Arabidopsis thaliana: one gene and its partner. The protein of the gene in region 1 interacts with the protein of each later gene in a pairwise test. Each region holds a gene or a part of one and is shown on either strand. Other genes may lie near its edges.

Region 1 (3,963 bases):
GGACCAGGAAGCTGAAAGTTGATGGTGAAGTGGCCTGGTGGGCATAAGTTCTGTGTTAGCATTTTGAAGATCTGATTGTGTTTGCAAACTGTCTGCTCCCCCGTCGTTGTTGCTCCCTTTATCATAATCTTACCGTCTGGTTCTATTTCGCAGCTGAATTCCTCTGCATATTTAACAAGTCAGATTCAGCAGAAGACAAGTAAAAGCACACGAAACAAAGCTCAAAGCACCTCATAAACACGCTTATAAACCGTGTGCAAGGAAATAATTGAGTAAACACACTTATAACACAAGGCTGAAACTTCTCAAATCTATGTGCAAATAATATTTGCTCTGAATGAACAAATATCTTTAACTAGCTTTAGAAATGATAATTTGGCATGTCATTTGGAAACTTCACAAAGATATGGAAAGGTGGTAAGACTTACTCTCATCCCTTGAAACACCAGGCAATGCAACACGAAAGTAATATGAGTCTTCGGATTCAGCAATATCAACCAACCCAATCGTTAGTCCAATCTTCCCCATTGCAGCACTTCCCGTGAGAGCAACTCCGGTTTTCGTTTGACTGATAAGGTTAGAAAACTCTGAACTTGAGTCAGAAGGCAGAAATATCATCGCAGGCCCTCCTACTTTCTCTACACTATCATTCATCCTGTTACTCGACATGGATGCATGAGTTACTGGACCAATGTAAGGCATACTGTTCAATGGAGTCACTTCAAGAATTTGTGGGTTCCTTGTGTTATCCGGAAAACTGTTGTTTTCCCTCATCCCATTTAGACCACTTGAAGACCTGAAGCACAACAATTCCTTTTATCATACACTTGACTCAGATTCGCTATATAACAGAATCACTCACGAAACTACAACGATTCTTTAAAACAGCAGCGGACTAAAAAGGCTTAATCTTTGAAACATTATAAGGCTATAGAGGTAGCTAGATTCTAGAATCAGTAAGAGAGCAAGAGATTGAACTATATTGGTTAAGATCCAATAAGCAAGCTAAGTCTTGTGATGTATAACCACTATTAATGCTTACGAATATTCATACAAACGGAAACTTCTTATACTTTCATGACCACAAATTAGACAAACGAAGAGGCAACATTCATCATTTGTCCTCTTTTATGTTATCGAAAAGGTCTTACACAACAATGTTAGATACACACATGAGTCTGACCCAATTTTGTAAGCAAGGGTTTAGCCAAGTAATGAATATTATACTATCTTAGACATAAGTTTAAGTTTTAAACCTGAAAATAAGTTTGGCACACAAGTATTTCATCAAAGTTTCAGACTTTTAGCCAAAAGTAACCTAATTTCAATCAGTGAAAATGTACAAAACCCATAAAGAAAAATTAAATCTTTCACAGAATCAAACGAAAATACACAAACTTGGGTTATATAAGAGCAAGAGTAGAAACAAAACTGACGAATTTTTGAGAAAAATTAGTTACTTTACCTCATCGGAGACGATGTTTCAGAAGTCGCCGGCAAAAATCTCCGAGAAGCTTTGTTGATTTTTTTTTTTTTTTCTCTTAATTTTCTTTAAGATGTACATTTGGTATAATCGCCACGTGGACAAATCAGTGCCGAAAGAATACCATTTTTACCCTCTTCTTGCCATGTCTTGAGTTTTTTTCCCAAGTCGCTTTCTGTTTCTCTGATGAGAGACAACGAAATTCACTAAGCAGCAACCCTAAATTTACACTCCTGGTTAGTAACATTTTATCTCAATTTCGTTTATTTATCAACAAATTATGTTTCTATTTGCTTCAATTTCTTAAATCTCCTTAAAAAGTTTCGTTTTTTCCCACCCATTTTGATACGAAATGTGTCCAATTTTTATCCAATTTGGTTATAATTTCTTATTGCATGTCCAGTATTTTTCAAATTTTCTATTAAAGTTTCAATCTTTTTGTATAAACACTCATAAAGAATCAAACTTTTGATGTTGTGTTGTGTGTTTAGGATATGAGTGATACAATGCCTGAGATCGTGTCTCCTTTAGTAGCTGAAAACTCTCAAGAACAAGAAGAAAGTGTGTTAATTTCATTGGATATTGAAGAAGACAAGTTGTTTCTCTTACATTTCATCATAGGAACTTACTTTGGACCAGATTTAAGAAAACAACATCATCGTCCAAAGCAATCAGCTTTTCAGATTCAAGCGTTGAAGAATGTTGTGGTAGATGAGTTAAGTGGCTCACTTATGAAGAGAGCTGAGCTAGAACGTGTGTATTATCACATTATTAGAAATGTTGATCCGTCTCTAGTCATGAAGCCGAAAAAGTTACGTGAATATTTCAATGCGAAACGCAATGATTCGAACAGGGATTACCCTCTTTTCGTGGATCTTTTTCCGCGAAAATTGCACCCTGAAACCCATGTTAGGCATAAGTTTAAGTTTATCCGGAGCATTGTGTTCATTAATGATCCAGATACTTCTTGTATGAGAGAAGAATGTGTTGCGCGGTTTAAGCGGCTTACGGGATTGGATAGCTTTGCTTTGAGCCTTAGTGTTGATGTAACTAAAAGTAACGGCGTTGTTGCAGCTAATGAGGTTAAGGTTGAGATTGATGAGAGCGTGGAACCTGTGAAAGAGGATAATGCGGGTACTTGCACTAGCGGTGAAGAAAGTGATGTTGCTGCAAAACCTGAGGTGAAATCTGAAGCTCATGGTGGACTAATGGTGGGACTGATGGACATTGGTGAATGTGATGACGCTTATCTCTTCCGTGTATCGCTTCCTGGTGTGAAAAGAGATGAAAGTGAGTTACTTTTTGCTTTATCTAGAAGATCTCTCATCCCACTAAACCAGTTTCTTGATTTGATGAGTGTGAGATATTGCAGGATATTTTAGCTGTGAAGTAGAAGACAATGGGAAGGTACTAGTTAGAGGAGTCACTACAACAGGCGGGAAGCGAGTTAAACGGTATTCTCATGTGTTTGAAATGCAAACGCGGAGTCTCTGCCCTCCCGGTAACTTTTCTGTCTCGTTCCGCCTCCCCGGTCCTGTCCATCCACACGAGTTTTCTGGCAACTTTGGAACAGATGGAATTCTTGAAGGAGTCGTAATGAAAAACTTGCAGAAACAAACTGTGTAAACGTTTGGTAGTGATATAGGAAGCGTCGGTTTTTGGTTTTGGTTATGGGTAGGGATAAGTACGGACTATTTAAACTCGAGCTAAGCCATTTTGAAAACTATGTGTAAGGACTGGTTAGTTTACAATATCACTGTAGCTTTGAACTTTATAAGTAGTAATCTAGCCTTTTGTAAGTTCAATTCTCAGTTTATGAATTTGTTACATTGACCGAAAACAGTTTGATGACAAGATAAACCAAACTGAATAACAATAGATAAATCCATGGATCATAAAACAGAAATTATTCTACTACACCAAACTTTTTATGTCGCAATAGTTTTCTATTAACATTCTTCTTCTTGAGTAGATCCACCGGGGAGAGCTTCGAATTAGACGGCTCTGCGGAAAACAAACAAGAACAATCAAATCAAGTTTTGTGTCCATGTAACGATAAAGCACAAATCTAAACCAAGAACTCACAGTTTATTAGGCCAAGCTAATTGTCAGGATCCTGCTGCTCAGGTCCTGGTTGTTGCCACATTGGCTGACCCATATACGGGTTCGGCGGATACGCGCCCGGGTTACCCATAACCATTCCCGGGTTCCCAATTGGAGCTGTTCCAGGAGGCAAGTATCCATACGGATAACCCGCAGCTGTAGCAGCTTCAGCACCAACACCACCCAAGACTTCATCACGAAGATCCTCCCGAGGAACAATATCCACAAGAAAATCAAAAATATCAGTTCTAGTCACCGCAGCCGCGATATCATTCTTCTGCAACGTCCTTCTCTTGTTCTCCTCAGTATGGTTCCAAGACCTTAACGTAAGCTCCAGAATAAACATCTCGCAGGCCCTGGCGAACACAACAGGCGCC
Region 2 (8,056 bases), on another chromosome or scaffold:
AATCAAGGATCGCATCAATGAGTTCTGTAACAACATCAATATAACGAGGGGCTTTAATCAAATCAAGAATGTGACAGACAATGACTTGTATTTGCTCCCTATCTCCACTGAAAAGCAATCCTTTATCAAACTCGTGAGTTCGATCAACGAGTAGAGTTTCAAGATCGAGAGGATTTTCATCTTCTCCATCTGAATTTACTTCAGGGGCAAGATTGTAACATAAATGAAACTTGAACATCAAGTTTTGGGTTCTGCCAAAATCGCCTTCATCGTTATAGATCGGATAATAGTAAACGAAGCTGTCGGGGTCTGGATTGACAGCATCAAAAACCATGATTTGTTCGGAAAAATGGGCGTTTTGATATTTGGTATTTAGGGTTTTGAGGCTTGATAAGACTTGAAAATGAAAATGAAAATATAGAATCCTCTTTTATGCGGTTTCCTTATCTTAGTAGGGTTTTCTTTCAAAAAAAAAAAAGTGACGAGAGGATATAGAGAAAGAAACGATCATAGTTTTTTAGTCTAATAATATTATTCCGAATCCTGAGAGCTATCAGAGTCAAGCTGTTCATCAACACAAAGCAACATCTCATCGCTAACATTATTTACTACTCCTAGTCCTAGACCACTAACTTCTTCTAAAGCTGCAGAGGAAGAAGAAGCCCTTGTCGTTTCTTTTCCTTCTTCTGATAACTTTGATACATCTTTCTGCAAACATTCTTCTTCTTCTTCTTCTCCTATAGAGACTACTGTTGTTTTATTTGGCCTATCATTGGCATTGCTGTCTCGGCTTGGGTTCTCTGTTTCTGAAGTTGGTTCTGTTTGATCGGCTCCGAGTGGTACGGGGAAGCCTGGGGATGGCTCATCATCTGAACCTGCTGGAACCATCTGATCACAGCTCTCAACTTGGGTACTCATGGGAGACCCGGCTTTGTCTAGACCTGGCTCTAGATCTGCTTCTTTGTTTGATGGGTTATTGCGTTCTTTAGAAAGACATACACCTGTACAGGAGCAAAAATCAAATGAAGTTCGTTCGAGAGAGAGGGAGAGAGGAGTTGGCTTTACCTTTCATAGTGCTGGGTTTTGTGCTCTCGTATAGTGTTTTCTTGAGCAGAGTTGTCCCAGGGAATACCATCAAGTTTATTCTTTTGAGAGCATCACGCTCTTCATCATCCATGGGTTTGAAGCCAAAACCTTCAGTCCAAGTTTCCACTAAACTCGGCAATGCAGCTACCACAAGCTTCTCCACTTTGAGAGACATAAGCATCTGCAGCCAAAACCAATGAATAGTTTTATCTATTGATAGCCCAGGGATCAAGACAAGACTGGAAGAGAGATCATATGAGCTAAGGGATTATCAAGGTCAGCATATGAGCGGTGCTGTATGTCTATCATTGTACTAAGTTTAGACATTATTAATGTGGATGTAGCTTCAAGAACAACCACATGGTTACATTCTAAATATCGTACCTCTTCAATGGCAGCCACGAGGATTCTACACATGCCCTGTCGGCGATATTTGCTGCACGTAGCTACAAGAGGCATCTCTGCAATAGTTACTCCGTGCACCCTGGATATAGTAAAATGGGGTTTATATGTAACTCGTTCCAGTGGATGGAAGTGAAAGAATAGTTCTAAGCATCCATTTGGTGATAGTGTCAAATTTTGTTTCATTGCCTGGAGGTTCTAGAAGACATACCAAACACTTTGATAGCCATGAGATTACTGTTTTTTCAGCATGAATTCGAGTTTCTTCATACTAACCTGATAGATGCTACTGAGATCATCACATCATCCTTTTCCACAACCACTGTGTAAAACCCATCAAAGTCTAACCGAGCAAATGTTGACCTTTAAGTGCAACAAAGATTCAAAAAAGGTAAGACAAAGCGATGAAAATGAAGAGCAGAACTGAAGGTACAGAAGTAACAAACAGAAATCTAAGTGTGCAAGCTAATGACAAAAGGACGTTACCCCCAGTTGTATAGCACATGAGGTATCATGTCAATACCAGTTCTTGGATCTACCATAGACAGAAAGCTTTCCTCCATAATTGATAGGGCAACAGCTAATTTCGAGTTGCATTCAGCCTTCAGCGCCAACCTTCGGGCAGAATGAACCATTCCATCTTCTTGAAAACATTTAAGAATTGACCAAGACAGACCATCAGCATTAGGGTTAATGATCCCAACACGAGAACTAAGACCATTGTACACCTGCATTACACGAGCTACTTAATGAGAACCTTGAAAGTTGTGAAGCAGCTGTAACATGCTAACATCTTCTTTGTTTATATGTCAAAGAGCCCAAGAGCAGCGAAAAATATACTATTATTCTCAATGTAAATTTAAAAACTACCCATTAGTTGTTTAAGTCACAGTGACTAGGTATGATTAATACCTTCTCGCAATTTTTACCACAAAAGTAGGTCTCTGGAAAAAGCTTTCTGCGTTTACTTATCCCTTGCAAACATGTTCCATGATCTGATAACATAAAGGTAACAATCATCAGCCAAAGTGGATTTCATACCAAAATAACTAATGTGGGATCCAACTGTCGCGAGAGGCATAACTCCAAAAGTGAGTTTTACAAAGTGTCAATTACTAAAGAAAGAAAATTGGAGAAGTGCTGAGCCTGGCAGAAAACCACCATCTACAACTGTTACTGATGAACAGTGACATCAATCGTGATAAAATCTCAGTGAGACATGATAGAAGAGAATTCAAATCAGGGGTTTCCTTTCATGTGATAAAGAAATAAATCATAGTTTCTAAGAGATTGCGAGCTGTAAGATGATTACATTTATGCGCACACTGGGAACATTTAAAGTCCTGAGAGCGTTCAGCATTATCACTAACCAACTCGCTGCATATCCAACATGTGCAGCTCGAGCAATACCAACTTCCTTCAGGGAGCACCTGGGTAGAAAAAGCAAAAGCAATACAGCAACTCTCTTTAGAGGGTACCAATTTAAGGTAAAATATCCTAGTTATACTAATGCCGTGTAAGTTACTAGAGTTGAATTAGTAAGAATCACAGAATCAGCCAAGAAGTTTCACCCATGTGTATGTTTTGCAAAGAGTTAATTACCGGGATAAATAATAGTTAAAATGTAAATATACCCTGGAATGAGTCAGACAATACCTGCATTGATAAGCACGCCTGATGGAAGGTAGATGGACAATTATCACAGCAGATCAGCTCACCCCCATCACCACAAACTCCACAAGAATCATCATTTGGATCATCATCAGAGGCTTTCTCTAATCTCCATCCATTTCTTCGCGCCTTATACTCAGCAGACCAAGCTTCCAGCTGACATGAAGCGAAAGGCTTTCCTGACCCCATGAAAAGATTCAGACATGGACAGTTCTGGTTAAATCCAGCATGGTTCTTGAATTCAGAAAGTGACACAGTCTTGTTGCAACATGTACAAACCACTCCATCTTTAGTTACCAGGCCTGTTTTTACCACAGTATCATCATCTGGATCTCGTAACTGGATTACTTCGTCTCTAGAAATTACTTTGGTAGCTATCAACCATGATAAGACAGTTCTAGGACCCAAAATAGACCAATTTCCTTGAAAAAAATGATTTTCCACATTGCTTGAGCTTCGGGGAAGCAACCTGCACCCTCCCCTATTGTTTCTTTTCTTTGTTCTAGCCTTTGGCTTCTGTGTTTTCTTTTTCTGGCTTGATCTGCTGAACTTACCTTTGTTTCTGGTTATTGTCGACCCCATAAGGTCATCATCTTGAGTATAGTGCTTCCTAGCTTTCTTTCTTCCTTTCTTTGAATTGCAACATGAATTATTCATCTTCTCATTCCTCAACCTTTCATCCCGACTTCCCTTTGAGACGAGGTGAATGTTGCCCATCTCTTTATCCTGGAATTCAAAGCTATTGAGAGAATTAGAATCTAGTGAATCATGTTGGTCCAAGGAAGCTGGTTTGATATCGGATATTTTCTTTGATCTTCTGTGTAAGTTCTTTCTCATAACACTTTCATGCATGTCTTCTGCTATCAATTTTGAAGCTACAATGCCCTTGCTAGCCTCCTGCTCATGAGTCCCAGAGATTTCCTTACCAATTATGCTCTGCCTCTCTAGTCTTGAAGAAACTTTTTGAGAGGAAATTTTAGTTTGCACCTCAAGATCTGAATGTATCTCTTGGTTAGCATCCACGTCATGAACAAGATGACTGCCTTCAGATACTGTCAGCACACTTTCAGGACAGCCTGAAATCAGGTTCAAACAAATTGTATCTTCTTTCTTCAACTTGTCTGGATTTGAATTCCTTGCAACTTCAACTTTATTTCCTTTTCTTAAAGAACCAACTTGCTTAGAAATGAAGACAACAACCACAAAAGGCTCTAAGGCACTCCACCAAAGTGCCCGTGTGTTAGCAAGATTTAAATTTTTCATGTTCTCCTCGATGTCCAACAGTGTAAGAGAGAGATCGGACCAGAAGTCATTAATACCAGTCCATTTCTTAGTACCAGTATCCATTAACTTACGATCAGCTAATAGGATCCCACCCAATGCTTTCCAAGCTGACCCAAATTCACGAAATTTCCGTCCCTCTGGCGATATGTAAAATGTGTCTACATGTTTCCTACCTGCTGATCTTTCGCGCTTCTCAATTTTCCATCTGGCAGCAGTTAGAACCTTACAGACATACTTGTAGAGAAGAGGACGGGGGTCCTCTTTAGGATCAATCTTTAGGCAGGTTTTAGACATAATTAACTCATTAGGAGATACTTTAGATCCGTTGTTCAACTGTAGCGGGAAGCAAGCCTTCTCACTATGCGGCGTAGAAGCACCTACAGAGATCATTCTGGTTGCGAAGCTCTCCTGAGAAACAGGAGAGGCAATAGCTTTAAATTCCTTTCCATCGCATTTGTCCAAGTTTAGTGACTTACACTTTCCAGACACAATGCCACCCAGATAAACTTCTCTTCCCTTTACTATGCTGTGCTTCAACAAATATGAGCTAGTTGAAACACCCTTGTTAGATGATTCAACTAAATGGAGAGGTATCGTCTCTCTAGCTATGTCCGAAGTTGGAAAACCATGCAAAGCAGATCCCTTTTCGTCCCTTGCATCCAAATGCTTATTACCTGAAAGCTTCACTCTCTTAGCTTTAGTGTTAAAATCTGAACCATCTCTTGAAGCAGATGCCTCAAAACCTTGTGGACATGCATATCCACTAGTTACCACAGAGTTGGAACTCAGAGAGGAATTGACATTCTTACTGGAATCACATTCGAAGTTAATGGCTCCAGTAACGAGACATCTTTTAGTAGTATTTCCAGGATCACTTCCAAAGAAAACTTCTCTGAATATCTGATGATCCTCATATGACCCTTCAAAGCAGTCACCTCCTAACATCTCAATCTCAGCTCCGGGAAGCATCTCCACAAACTAACTGCATATTCCACTTCACCTTAACTTAAAAGGAAGGTTGTAGATAGATACCTGCAATTATATAAAGTAATGAATAAACTCACAGAACCCAAAAGTTTGGAACTCGACATCCTAATCCAAAACACATACCCATAAGCGGAAGCGGATTCAAAACAAGATAAAATCAGAGATCCTTCTAGAAAGGCCAAAACTTTGAAGCCTAGAGCAAAACGATAGACCAGATTTCATGAAATTGAGATGTTATAATGACTAATTACATCCAAAAAGAAAGCTCAAAAATTGGGAAATGCAGGACATTACCAGCATGCAGAATGAAATCAGAGCTGTGAAATCGGAGAAATGGCTTCTTCTCACTGAAATAGACTCATTTCGTCGCCCTTATCCTCTCCAACCGCAAGTGGGAAACGCATTTTCATTCCATTTCACGTTCTCTGCACTCACACACTCTCTCTCCTTGATCTCTATCTCACACACAGAAAGAACAACAATTTGTCTATCTTTTTAGCTTTTTCTATAATTGTGGAAGAAACCCACCTCTGATTCGGTGTTAAATCTCTCAACCAAAATTCATCAGATAGATAAATTCTGACGAACTTTTTTTCACCTCTCTGAATCTGCCTCTATCACTTTGTTGTGCACAGTGTGTGTATACTTATTATTGGCTATTTCTTTCTCTTCTCGTTTTTTTTCTTTTTTTCTTTTCTATAAATTGTGTGCTGTCACCAAAAAGGCATCTTCGTGTTTTTATTTTATTTTTCCTTCGTTATACTGAAAAAGTCATTCTTCATTTTTCACCTTAAGATTCTGTCTCCTCTCTGATAACAACGGACCAGCAGTTATAGTATATGGAGTACTTAAATTCGTTTAATTACACAAATTAAAACCCAAATATTCGTCGTTTTTTTCTTCTGTTATCAAATTCTTAATCCTGTTAATGACGATCGTATCACTATAAGCCAATATTAATGACTATGGTTTTAAGTTCTTGACAAAGTTTTTTTTTACTAAATTCGCCACAGACAAAAACTGTTCTGACAAAAATAACAGACAAACTAAAATGAAAAAAAAGGTTAGCATATTTAATTGCCAGGTTTCTAACTGTTCTTCTGTTGTCGTTTTAAATCATTTCAGCTTATGTTTTTGTCCTTTAAAATTCAGTCATCACCGATTGTAACAGGTTTTGTCTTAATATGTATAATCAATATCTGTTAAGTGGATTGGATGCTTTGTAATTTGCGCGGGGAATCTTTACGTGTCTTAACGATAACAAATACTGTACTATCAAATAGGTGCATGCGATGATGGACATAAGTCGTATTTTAACCTATTTTGTTGTGTGAACAGATTAGTTATTGCATGTTTTGTATTAACTATATATAGGAATACGGCTCTGAATCTTTGTTTCTTCTTATTCGATTTTGATATATGAAAATTCCAAAAAGTACATGTACCAGTACGATGAAAACGACTGTGTTATGTGAAAGTATTTGTTTTTAAAAAAAAAAATATTTAGAGGGGATCAATTCTAGATACTTTTTTCATTTTTAAGGTTTAACTATGGTTAAAAAGAAACGATTCTTTTTTAAAAGGGTAGATGGTAGACCTCATTTGCTAATTTTGATCCACATAAGTCAATAACAAATAATTCGGCTCGCTTGCGAAGCTAATGCATGAGCCACGTGTTTTGCTTTATATTTGGCTTTCTGTATTGAGACATTCTTCTTCATCCTAATTGTGAATGGAATATGTTGGACCCAACGAAGCCATCAAACATGGTTAAAACACACAAACATGTGATTTAATCTAGTTTAATTTCGTCTATTACAATATAAGTGAATTTTGACACACATCCTTGGATTATATCTAAAACGTTAAGTTTGTTAAAAACACTTTGGACCGGATAATGGGTATTGATCATTTATTGTTTGTTGCATGTTGGGTTAGAAATTAGAGATCATAACAAAAATCATGATTTCAGGCTGTCCATTTTGAAAAATGTGTGTGTTTGTGTTAATTTGAATACACCGATTCATCCAAAAACCATCTGAACAGTCTCTTAATTAGTTTACCGTGTATATATATCATATTTATGGGATCATATTTGGTTAAGTTTAACTAGTAGTTTCAAATTTCGCGTTAATAGCTATTTGAAAGGGTAGGAGTACTTTTTCGACCGGTTAACACTCCCATATAAAGCCCATAAATTATTGGAACGCTACAAAATTAACAAAACATCTCTTCAGAAGTTCGTCCGGTTTACTCTACTACAAAGTACATGTATCAAAAACGACAACACGTGCTTCCACAAAATTAAGAACCAGGACGTGATGTCGTTGTTGTAATACTTTTTTCTCGCCAACTTCACGCCGTCTTAGTTTACCGAAACCAAAGTGGCTTTTTCTGATTTTATCCAATACAATGACGTGGAAAGACTCAAAAGAAGCTTTCGCCACGTTCCACCAATGAATGTTCGACACGTATCGTCGAGTTTCTTTTTCTTTATGCTTACGTCATCGCACACGTCTATCTTCTTTTGGTTAAAGTGATAAAAAGGAAAGTCGTAAATGGCTTCGTCACTGAGTCTTTCCTACTATTTTAACCCCATTAGTGACACTCCTTTCTTCTCCACTAC

Evidence for each region. Proteins that work in one complex are often made in the same cells at the same time.
Region 2: the proteins of AT1G54840 (region 1) and ROS4 interact in a two-hybrid assay, tested with the Arabidopsis thaliana proteins (3 studies listed by BioGRID, with this or other methods).

The regions. Positions count from the first base shown.
Region 1 is NC_003070.9:20,451,947-20,455,909, reverse strand, and holds AT1G54840 (HSP20-like chaperones superfamily protein), read left to right. Parts: upstream 1-1,643; 5' UTR 1,644-1,719; intron 1,720-1,974; 5' UTR 1,975-1,977; coding exon 1,978-2,773; intron 2,774-2,855; coding exon 2,856-3,109; 3' UTR 3,110-3,317; downstream 3,318-3,963. Other genes in the region: AT1G54850 (HSP20-like chaperones superfamily protein), read right to left, coding at 1-163, 429-796, 1,466-1,470; NF-YC3 (nuclear factor Y, subunit C3), read right to left, coding at 3,585-3,963. UniProt on the Arabidopsis thaliana protein: Prevents DNA hypermethylation and transcriptional silencing of transgenes and of some endogenous genes. May act as a molecular chaperone of IDM1, regulating its H3K18 acetylation activity.
Region 2 is NC_003074.8:5,039,400-5,047,455, forward strand, and holds ROS4 (Acyl-CoA N-acyltransferase with RING/FYVE/PHD-type zinc finger protein), read right to left. Parts: upstream 6,127-8,056; 5' UTR 5,930-6,126; coding exon of another isoform or gene 5,711-5,929; intron 5,624-5,710; exon of another isoform or gene 5,554-5,623; intron 5,476-5,553; 5' UTR 5,413-5,475; coding exon 3,145-5,412; intron 2,919-3,144; coding exon 2,801-2,918; intron 2,484-2,800; coding exon 2,401-2,483; intron 2,217-2,400; coding exon 1,975-2,216; intron 1,852-1,974; coding exon 1,765-1,851; coding exon of another isoform or gene 1,755-1,764; exon of another isoform or gene 1,571-1,754; coding exon 1,471-1,570; intron 1,268-1,470; coding exon 1,066-1,267; coding exon of another isoform or gene 1,019-1,065; exon of another isoform or gene 1,002-1,018; coding exon 532-1,001; 3' UTR 413-531; downstream 1-412. Other genes in the region: AT3G14970 (RING/U-box superfamily protein), read right to left, coding at 1-334; AT3G14981 (uncharacterized protein), read left to right, coding at 5,711-5,929. UniProt on the Arabidopsis thaliana protein: Histone H3 acetyltransferase that binds methylated DNA at chromatin sites lacking histone H3K4 di- or trimethylation and catalyzes H3K18 and H3K23 acetylation. Prevents the transcriptional silencing of transgenes and of some endogenous genes.